Linked DNA regions of Canis lupus familiaris. The protein of the gene in region 1 interacts with the protein of each later gene in a biochemical or structural test. Links are inferred from orthologs where the notes say so. Each region holds a gene or a part of one and is shown on either strand. Other genes may lie near its edges. The genes, in order: CREB1 and RPS6KA5.

Evidence for each region.
Region 2: of the proteins of CREB1 (region 1) and RPS6KA5, one has a biochemical effect on the other in vitro, tested with the Homo sapiens proteins (3 studies listed by BioGRID, with this or other methods). The link is inferred for Canis lupus familiaris from reciprocal best matches to the Homo sapiens genes CREB1 and RPS6KA5.

The regions. Positions count from the first base shown.
Region 1 is NC_049258.1:15,801,998-15,805,820, forward strand, and holds part of CREB1 (cyclic AMP-responsive element-binding protein 1), read left to right. Parts: intron 1-249; exon of another isoform or gene 250-823; 5' UTR 824-831; coding exon 832-945; exon of another isoform or gene 946-3,542; coding exon of another isoform or gene 3,543-3,616; intron 3,617-3,823.
Region 2 is NC_049229.1:62,155,282-62,159,104, reverse strand, and holds part of RPS6KA5 (ribosomal protein S6 kinase alpha-5), read left to right. Parts: intron 1-1,554; coding exon 1,555-1,716; intron 1,717-2,893; coding exon 2,894-3,019; intron 3,020-3,405; coding exon 3,406-3,539; intron 3,540-3,823. UniProt on the Homo sapiens protein: Serine/threonine-protein kinase that is required for the mitogen or stress-induced phosphorylation of the transcription factors CREB1 and ATF1 and for the regulation of the transcription factors RELA, STAT3 and ETV1/ER81, and that contributes to gene activation by histone phosphorylation and functions in the regulation of inflammatory genes.

The DNA.
Region 1 (3,823 bases):
CAGGTAATATACAAAGCACTAAATGATAACAGTAGTACACAAGTAAAAAGTAATCCCTTTTATTGTGAATCTTTTAGACATAATTATCACCAGAAGTTTATTTCTGTTATCAGAAAGAAATATCTCATCTGCATGTAGCTGCTGCTGCTAGGAATTGTTCTCCACTAACTTATGCTGCCATTTAGTGCTAGATTACCCAACAAACAGACTAGCAAAGTAGGGCCCCAAAGTGAAAAAGAACAGCCTTGATTAACTTACTCAAAATTTTATTTCATGTTTGTGTGCATGTGTAGTGTTGTACACTGTACATGGGGTGAGGAGTCAGAACACCCAAGATTTGCAGTGTTTGGGGCCTCTAATTGGGCCCTGTGGCTGTTTATCCCACCTTTCTATCTTGATACCCCACAACTTGGGCTGATTTTGTCCTACCCCCAGTAATTTCCTGTGGAAGTAGCTTATAATTTTCTACTTCTTCCCTGTAAAAGGAGGGAATACCCTAATAGGAAGTACCATGAAGCCAATATTTCATAGACCCTGGCATCAGCTCTCTTCTACTCTACCTTCTCTCCATACCTGAGGAGTACAGTTTGAAGAAATTAGAATTTTATTGGCACCCTCCTCCCCTTGTTAATAGGGGAGATTTGTGGAAGAAATAGTTGGAATAACAAGGGAAAAGACAAGTTTTTTTTCTTTTAACTAGATTTCGAAGTACATTTGCTAACCTAACGAGCACATATACCTATTTATAACCTGAAATTTGTGTTTAAAGTCACAAAAGCACAAAGCACTGTAGTGCTTGTAACACTCTTCCATATTATTGTAGGTAACTAAATGACCATGGAATCTGGAGCAGAGAACCAGCAGAGTGGAGATGCAGCTGTAACAGAAGCTGAAAACCAGCAAATGACAGTTCAAGCCCAGCCACAGATTGCCACATTAGCCCAGGTATAAAATACATGGAGAGATTCCAAGTTACGTCTCTTCCAAGAGGAATATGTTTTAGACAAAAAGATTTAGTTTTCATTGCAGAGAGATGCATAGAATGAGCACAGACATTCTTAGAATATCAACATTCCTGTTTACTTAGTATATTAGCATAATTTTAGAAATGATTCAGTAACAGAACAGAAAAATGTATTGTTAAAACACTAATTACCTATTTGTAGTGATCTGATTCAGAATAATGACATTTTGATTAATGGAAAGAGATTATCTCTCTTAAACAAGGGAAGAATACCTGATAAGGTAACAGCTTTTTTTTTTCTTTTTTTTTGTTTTTTTTTTAATCACACAGATTTTTTGAGGCATGGGAATTTAGATAACCGACAGGCTAACTTTTCTATGTGCTTAAACCAAAAAGTAGGATAGGCAAATAGATTGACACACAAGTAAATTTCAAGAATGATAATGGGTTTTTGTTTCCTATATCTTTTAAATATAATTCATGATTCCTTCTGTTTGTCTGTCTTAAACATTTCTATCTCTAGAGTTATATTCTCTCATTTTTATTTTTTGTTCTGATGTATTTTTCCTCAATTATTTTATTAACCACTAATTGTGTATATATGAGTGAGAAAGGTAGTTAATATAAAAACCAAGTAACAGACATAAACCTGCTAGATCAGAGTATCATATTGCCTTTTTCTGATAAAGGCTCCCGGGAGAAAATAATTCCAGCAGAGGTTCTGGAATGTTGAGCTTCGCCTTCCTGAAGAATTTAAACGCTCTCCTCAGAGAGTCCCTGAGCAAGAATGGGTCTTGGAGAATCTGTGGCTAAACACAGATGGTTACTACACTGAACTAAAGTATGGCCCAAATACTTGATCTCCAGCAGGGATATAGTCAGAAGGAGTGGGCTGCTCTATGTTTTCTACTAAGAGTACTAGGGCTGACCTCCAACCCTCAGGGGAGAGACAAAGCAGAATATATCTGGGAATGAAATAAATACTTGGATAAGGCAGGTGCAGGAAAAGGGGAAAGAGCCAGGACTTCATCAGTACATGGTCAAGGCAAACACGACAGATCAGAGTCTGGGCTCACACAAGCATTTGACCCTCTGGTAAAAAGAAGGTACAGTTCTAGAAGGAATCTTGGTGCTGACAGCCCTCATACCTATCTCTTGGGTGGCACTATCCTGTCTGCTCTGCTTGTCCTCTAAGTCTGCTGTATAATGCATTCCTGGAAATTCCTTTCCCTTTACTGTCTTTCTGTTATTGACTTTGTGTTCTTGATACAGTAAAACGTTTTCCAGTGGTTTCTTAAGCAAGTTTGGGTAAAAAAATTCTTGGTAAAAATATTTTTTCTTGGGCACTTGGGTGGCTTAGTTGGTTAAGCATCCCACTCTTGGTTTTAGCTCAGGTCATGATCTCCTGATCGTGGGATGAAGCCCCACATCGGGCTTCACACTTGTGGAGTCGGCTTCAGATTCTTCCTCCCTCTCCCTCTGCCCCTCCCAGCTTTATTTTATTTCTCTAGTATCTTATTTCTCTCTGTTCACAGTGCTTCACTATTTCATTATTAGGGTCTTGGTTCGGATAGTTTTTATCCATTGTGCTATATATATAATTAGTGGGCCCTTTTATGGTACAAACTCATGTCTTTGATTCTGGGCAATTTCTTTAAATTATTTGGTTGAAGGTGTTTTTTCCTCTTTCTTTTTCTCTAGGATCCTTGTGATCTAAATGATATACCTATGGGATTATTTCTCTAATTTTCTCATCTTTACTGCTTTCCATCTTTTTGCTCTGCTTTCTGGGAGATTTCTTCAGCTTCCTGTTCCAAAAAGTTCCTTTTGTTCTCTGAATGGTCCTTTTGTGTTTTAATAGCATCCTGTTATGTTTTACAAAGGCAGTATTTTCTGTCATCTCTGAGAATATTAATTAGGTTTTAAGTTTTCTTCTCCCCACATAGATTTTCCTTTGTATAGCTTTTTGCCCTTCAATGTGTTTTGGTCTCCATCTTTTATATTAGAAACTTTCCTCGAATGTCTTAGAATTTGTTCTTGTCTGTTCAAGTTTAAAGCAGGAAACCAAAAAACTATTGGAAGCTCTGGATGTGTTTGGGGCCTAACAGCTATGAATTACGAGCTTCACTGTAGGGTGATTATGGCTTTCCCAATGTCAGTATCTTTTAAGTCTGTTTAATTTAGCCCCTTGTCATTGGTTAGGTTCCTGAGGGAAGGCCTTCCTAATCCCTTGCTTAGGGGAAAGGCCTGGGAGCTAAGAGAGAGAAGACTGGAGGTTAGTAACTCCACTGTCAGCAGTGTTTGGTATAGGCAGTCAGGAGACCACTGTCCAGAAATTAAATCTCCGTTTTTCTGTCAGCATGGGGTAGATTAATTACTCTTCTTCAAGGAGCGTGGGGAGGGGATCCAGTTGCTTCTCAAAGAACCTTTAACTAGCCTTATTTTCTCAGCCTCTCTCTTTACTCCACCTTCCAAGGTGTCTTAGATACTGAGCCTCTTAAGGATTTTATGGTGCAAATCAGGCTTTCCTTGCCTCTACATCATGAGTTGGCCTTTTGAGATCTTCAAAGTCCATTACCATTCATCCGTCTTCCCAGCATCCAAAACTATTACTCTCATCTCTTTTCCCACTCTTTGCTCATGTGATTGGACCTGTAAAAACAAAATCAATTTTATGAAATTTAATTGGAGATTCAGAAAGGAGCAAAATAATATACACATGTTTAATCTGTCATCTTTATTAGGCAGTCCAAGAACAATGACATGTTGTTTGAGTTATAGAAAAGCTAGTTTTCTATTCCCATTTATATAGTTTTTGTTCTTTTTATTCCTAATTACAGAATTTTTTCACTTGCTCAT
Region 2 (3,823 bases), on another chromosome or scaffold:
CTCCTTCTATTTGTAAATATTACAGTATGTCTTTCATATGAGAGAAATTTCTCTTTTCTATAGCTTGGAATAGTAATTTTAGGCTATTTAATTGCCTTGCTTTTTAAACAACAAGGACACTTTAGGAAAAACTAGAATCCAACTTGTAAAGACCTAAATGGAGAGGAGGTGGAGAGGAGCATAATAGCATTCAATCTTTTACACACCAAACGTTCTCCTGCTAACAACATATTTCTTTAAATGACCCCTTTACTCTAATAGTTTCTCTTAATGTGTGTATAAATAGCCAAGCACAAATCATATGCTTGTAATGGAAAACATTACAGCCACCCAGAGGACAGAACACTAACTAGAAAAAATCAAGAGACTGACCCTTCCACTAGCTAATGTTTAAGTAAAAAGGTTATCTCTTGCTTCTGGGCTTCAGTTTCCATCTAGATCAAGTAAAGGAGATGAGCTAAATGATCTCTAAAGCCCACTCTAAGCTAGAAAAAATAAAAAAAGTGAAGACCTGTAATCTAGTGATTTTTTTTTCTACATTGCCTCCACAAGAGGGCATAATAAAAACATTTTATGTTGGTTGATTAAACTTAACGACTGTCATCAACCGTCTCTGAAATCGAAATGTGTCTTACAGTGGATATCATAACCATTCCAGCTGGTAATGCCTTTTCTTCCTAAATGGTACATAAAATAATGGTGTATCTCACTATCAGTGATGACATTTTAGATTTGAGGAAGTATGTTAATAGGATAGCTGTAGAATTCAATTCAATAAGTCTTGTCTGAGGTGGTTTTAAGTGACAGAAGGAGCATAAGTTAAATAGAGCACAGAATTGAATTTGAGTACTCTAAAACATAGCACATAGCAGTTTATCAGGCAGTGAGTGTCTGGCATGAGGGAAGAGGGGAACCTGGATTATCCTATGGGGGAGAGAAGGAGCAGTATTTAAAAAGCTAGAATACTAGTTAAATGAGAAGCAGATGATTACATTAGTATGATAGTACCATTTTCACTTAGAGACCTAAACAAGTGCATGATTTATAGTGAGTTTTTATTTTCTGATCTGTCCAGAGGACCAGGAGGGAAACCAAGTATAGGCAGAGAGTCACTCAACATTGCCTCTAGAAAACAGGAATATTCCTTTAGAATTAATATTCATATCCATAGAGCATTGAAAAGCCCTTTATTACAGTTCAGTTTTGTTTTGTTCTGGCCTCCTTTCTCAGGAGGGTCAGGACAAAAATAATTTTTCTGTTATCCCTAGGGTATCTCGGTGCCCCCCAGAGGACCCAGCAAGACCCCACAGTGACCAAGGGCAGTCTCATCTTTCAGCATTGGCTGGAGCAATCAACTGCAGTCAGAAAATGTGCTCATGCTTTAAAAAAAATAAATAACCCACCATATTTCTAATTATTGATTGGCAATATGTGTACTTTCCGTATCAACCAATGAAAACCCGAATCTGTCCTTGTTATTCTTAGAAAATTCTCAGAAAATACTCCAACTTTGTTGGTTTCTACTTTGTACCAATTTTCTTTTCTCTGTTTTAGAAAATAAATTGGGATGATTTAGCCGCCAAAAAAGTGCCCGCGCCATTTAAGCCAGTCATCCGAGATGAATTAGATGTGAGTAACTTTGCAGAAGAGTTCACAGAGATGGATCCCACCTACTCCCCAGCAGCACTGCCCCAGAGCTCCGAGAGGCTGTTTCAGGTAATCTCCAAGAGTCTGTTCATGCACAGGGGCCATGTGTGCTCAGAAAAAAAAAAAAAGAAAAAAAAAGACTAATTTTCCCATGAACATGTACTTGGCATCTTAAAAGCAAGATTCTCTAATCTCTTAAACATAGAAATACTGCACATTATCAACTGAAGTTTATGGTCTGTTACATATTGGATATTATGTGTTTTTTTATATATAAAGAAGTGCTGATTTTTTTCCTTGAAATTTCATTTCTGTTCAGGCTCTTTTATAGAAAAATACAATGCTACTGTATTTTACCTCTATCCATACAAAATTTTCTGCAGTTCATTAAAAGTATTATCTGATTCTTTATCTTCAGCCAACAATTTTAACTGCTTTCTAACTCCTGAAAAAGATCCTAGAAAAGATTTTATACTTAGATCTTTCTCAGACTTGCAGTAGACTCACTGTCAAATGGCATCAGAGCTTTCCTTCTTGAGTCCCAGAAGGATCCCATTAGTATGGCCTCATCTGGTCACCTGGGCTGTGTCCCTGGCCCTTAATGACCCAAATGTGTAGTACATGGCTGGGTACATAGTAGATGTTCAAAAAAACATCCTTCGAACTAGTGAATGTTCTAGCTTGAGCAGATTAATCATCTATCCCGATGCCACTTTTGGTTCAGGCCATCATTCTGCCATTTGATTTTATTTCTTTTCCAAAACTCAATTTAAAATTTGAGTCAAATTTAATAATTGAGTCAAATAACTGCTAACTTAGAAACTAACTGTAGTGAACCTTGCTACAAAACAGTAGCCCTTGGACCACTTTGTCTAATGCCTTAAACTCTACCTTTTTGAGAAGTTAGTTGTGTTTTTATAAGCGAACTTTTATCAGCAATGCAAAAGAATCGCAGCTGTGAGTCAGATACTGGGGGTAGATTAGGAAGTAAGGTTTTTCTGCCTTTAATTTTGAATCGGTTTAATTCTACCAGAAGATGGCATTATCTCCTTCTGAAAAGCATTTTTCTATTGATGTGAAATCACCTTGCATTTTAGATCACAAATAAAATGAGATTCATCTTAACACCTATTTGAATGTTTTTCATTCTTTTTTGTTGATATAAGGAAAAAATTGCTACAGTTTGGTCTGTGCTAACCTGAAAAATTGCAAATCCTCATTCTTTACTCTTCCTTTTCTTTTGAAGGGCTATTCCTTTGTTGCTCCTTCCATTCTGTTCAAGCGTAATGCTGCTGTCATAGATCCTCTTCAGTTTCACACGGGAGTTGACCGTCCTGGAGTGACAAATGTTGCCAGGAGCGCGATGATGAAGGTATAGATGTGGTCAATGAGATGACATAGTTACGATTTAAATACCAACACCAATTAACATTGTCAAGGCCAGTGAACGTGAGACACTTACCATTTGACTAAGATGCAATTTTAGGAAATGAGTAAGTGGAAATAGCAGCATTTGCCCTAGAGAATTAGTCATATCAACTTCAGTGAACTCCGTTTTGCAATGATAGCAAATTATGTATCTTAAAAAGTTATATAGATGAAAGTAGAAATGAGCTAAAGCAAGATGAATCTTAGAAGATTATAAATGTATCCCACACATATTTATTAACATTGATAATGTTCTTTTACCCACAATGTTATTTATCCCTCTGCATTCCTAGTATTTTCTGAAATTAAGTGATGTTGGTTTCTTATCAGGACTCCCCCTTCTATCAGCACTATGACCTGGATCTGAAGGACAAGCCACTGGGAGAGGGAAGTTTTTCAATTTGTCGGAAGTGCATACACAAAAAAAGTAACCAAGCATTCGCAGTCAAAATAATCAGCAAAAGGTAGGACCATTTCTGGCATTCTTTTGTATGGACTCATCCTGGTCAATGAATTCTGTAAATTAGGATTTTTATTTTAAAAGCAGTGGTTTCTTGTAAGGCTTTTCACCCATGGGTTTAGCCATTCAGCTCATTAGTTGATCCATTATCCTTCTGACTCTAATAGATGTTTGCTAGTAAAGTAATCCATTTGAGACATAAATCAGTGTGACAGGCTTTCGAGGTTACTGCGAGAACATTTTCTGTGGCGGTGGCAGTCAGACTTGCTCAGCAGCTGTTGCCGTGCC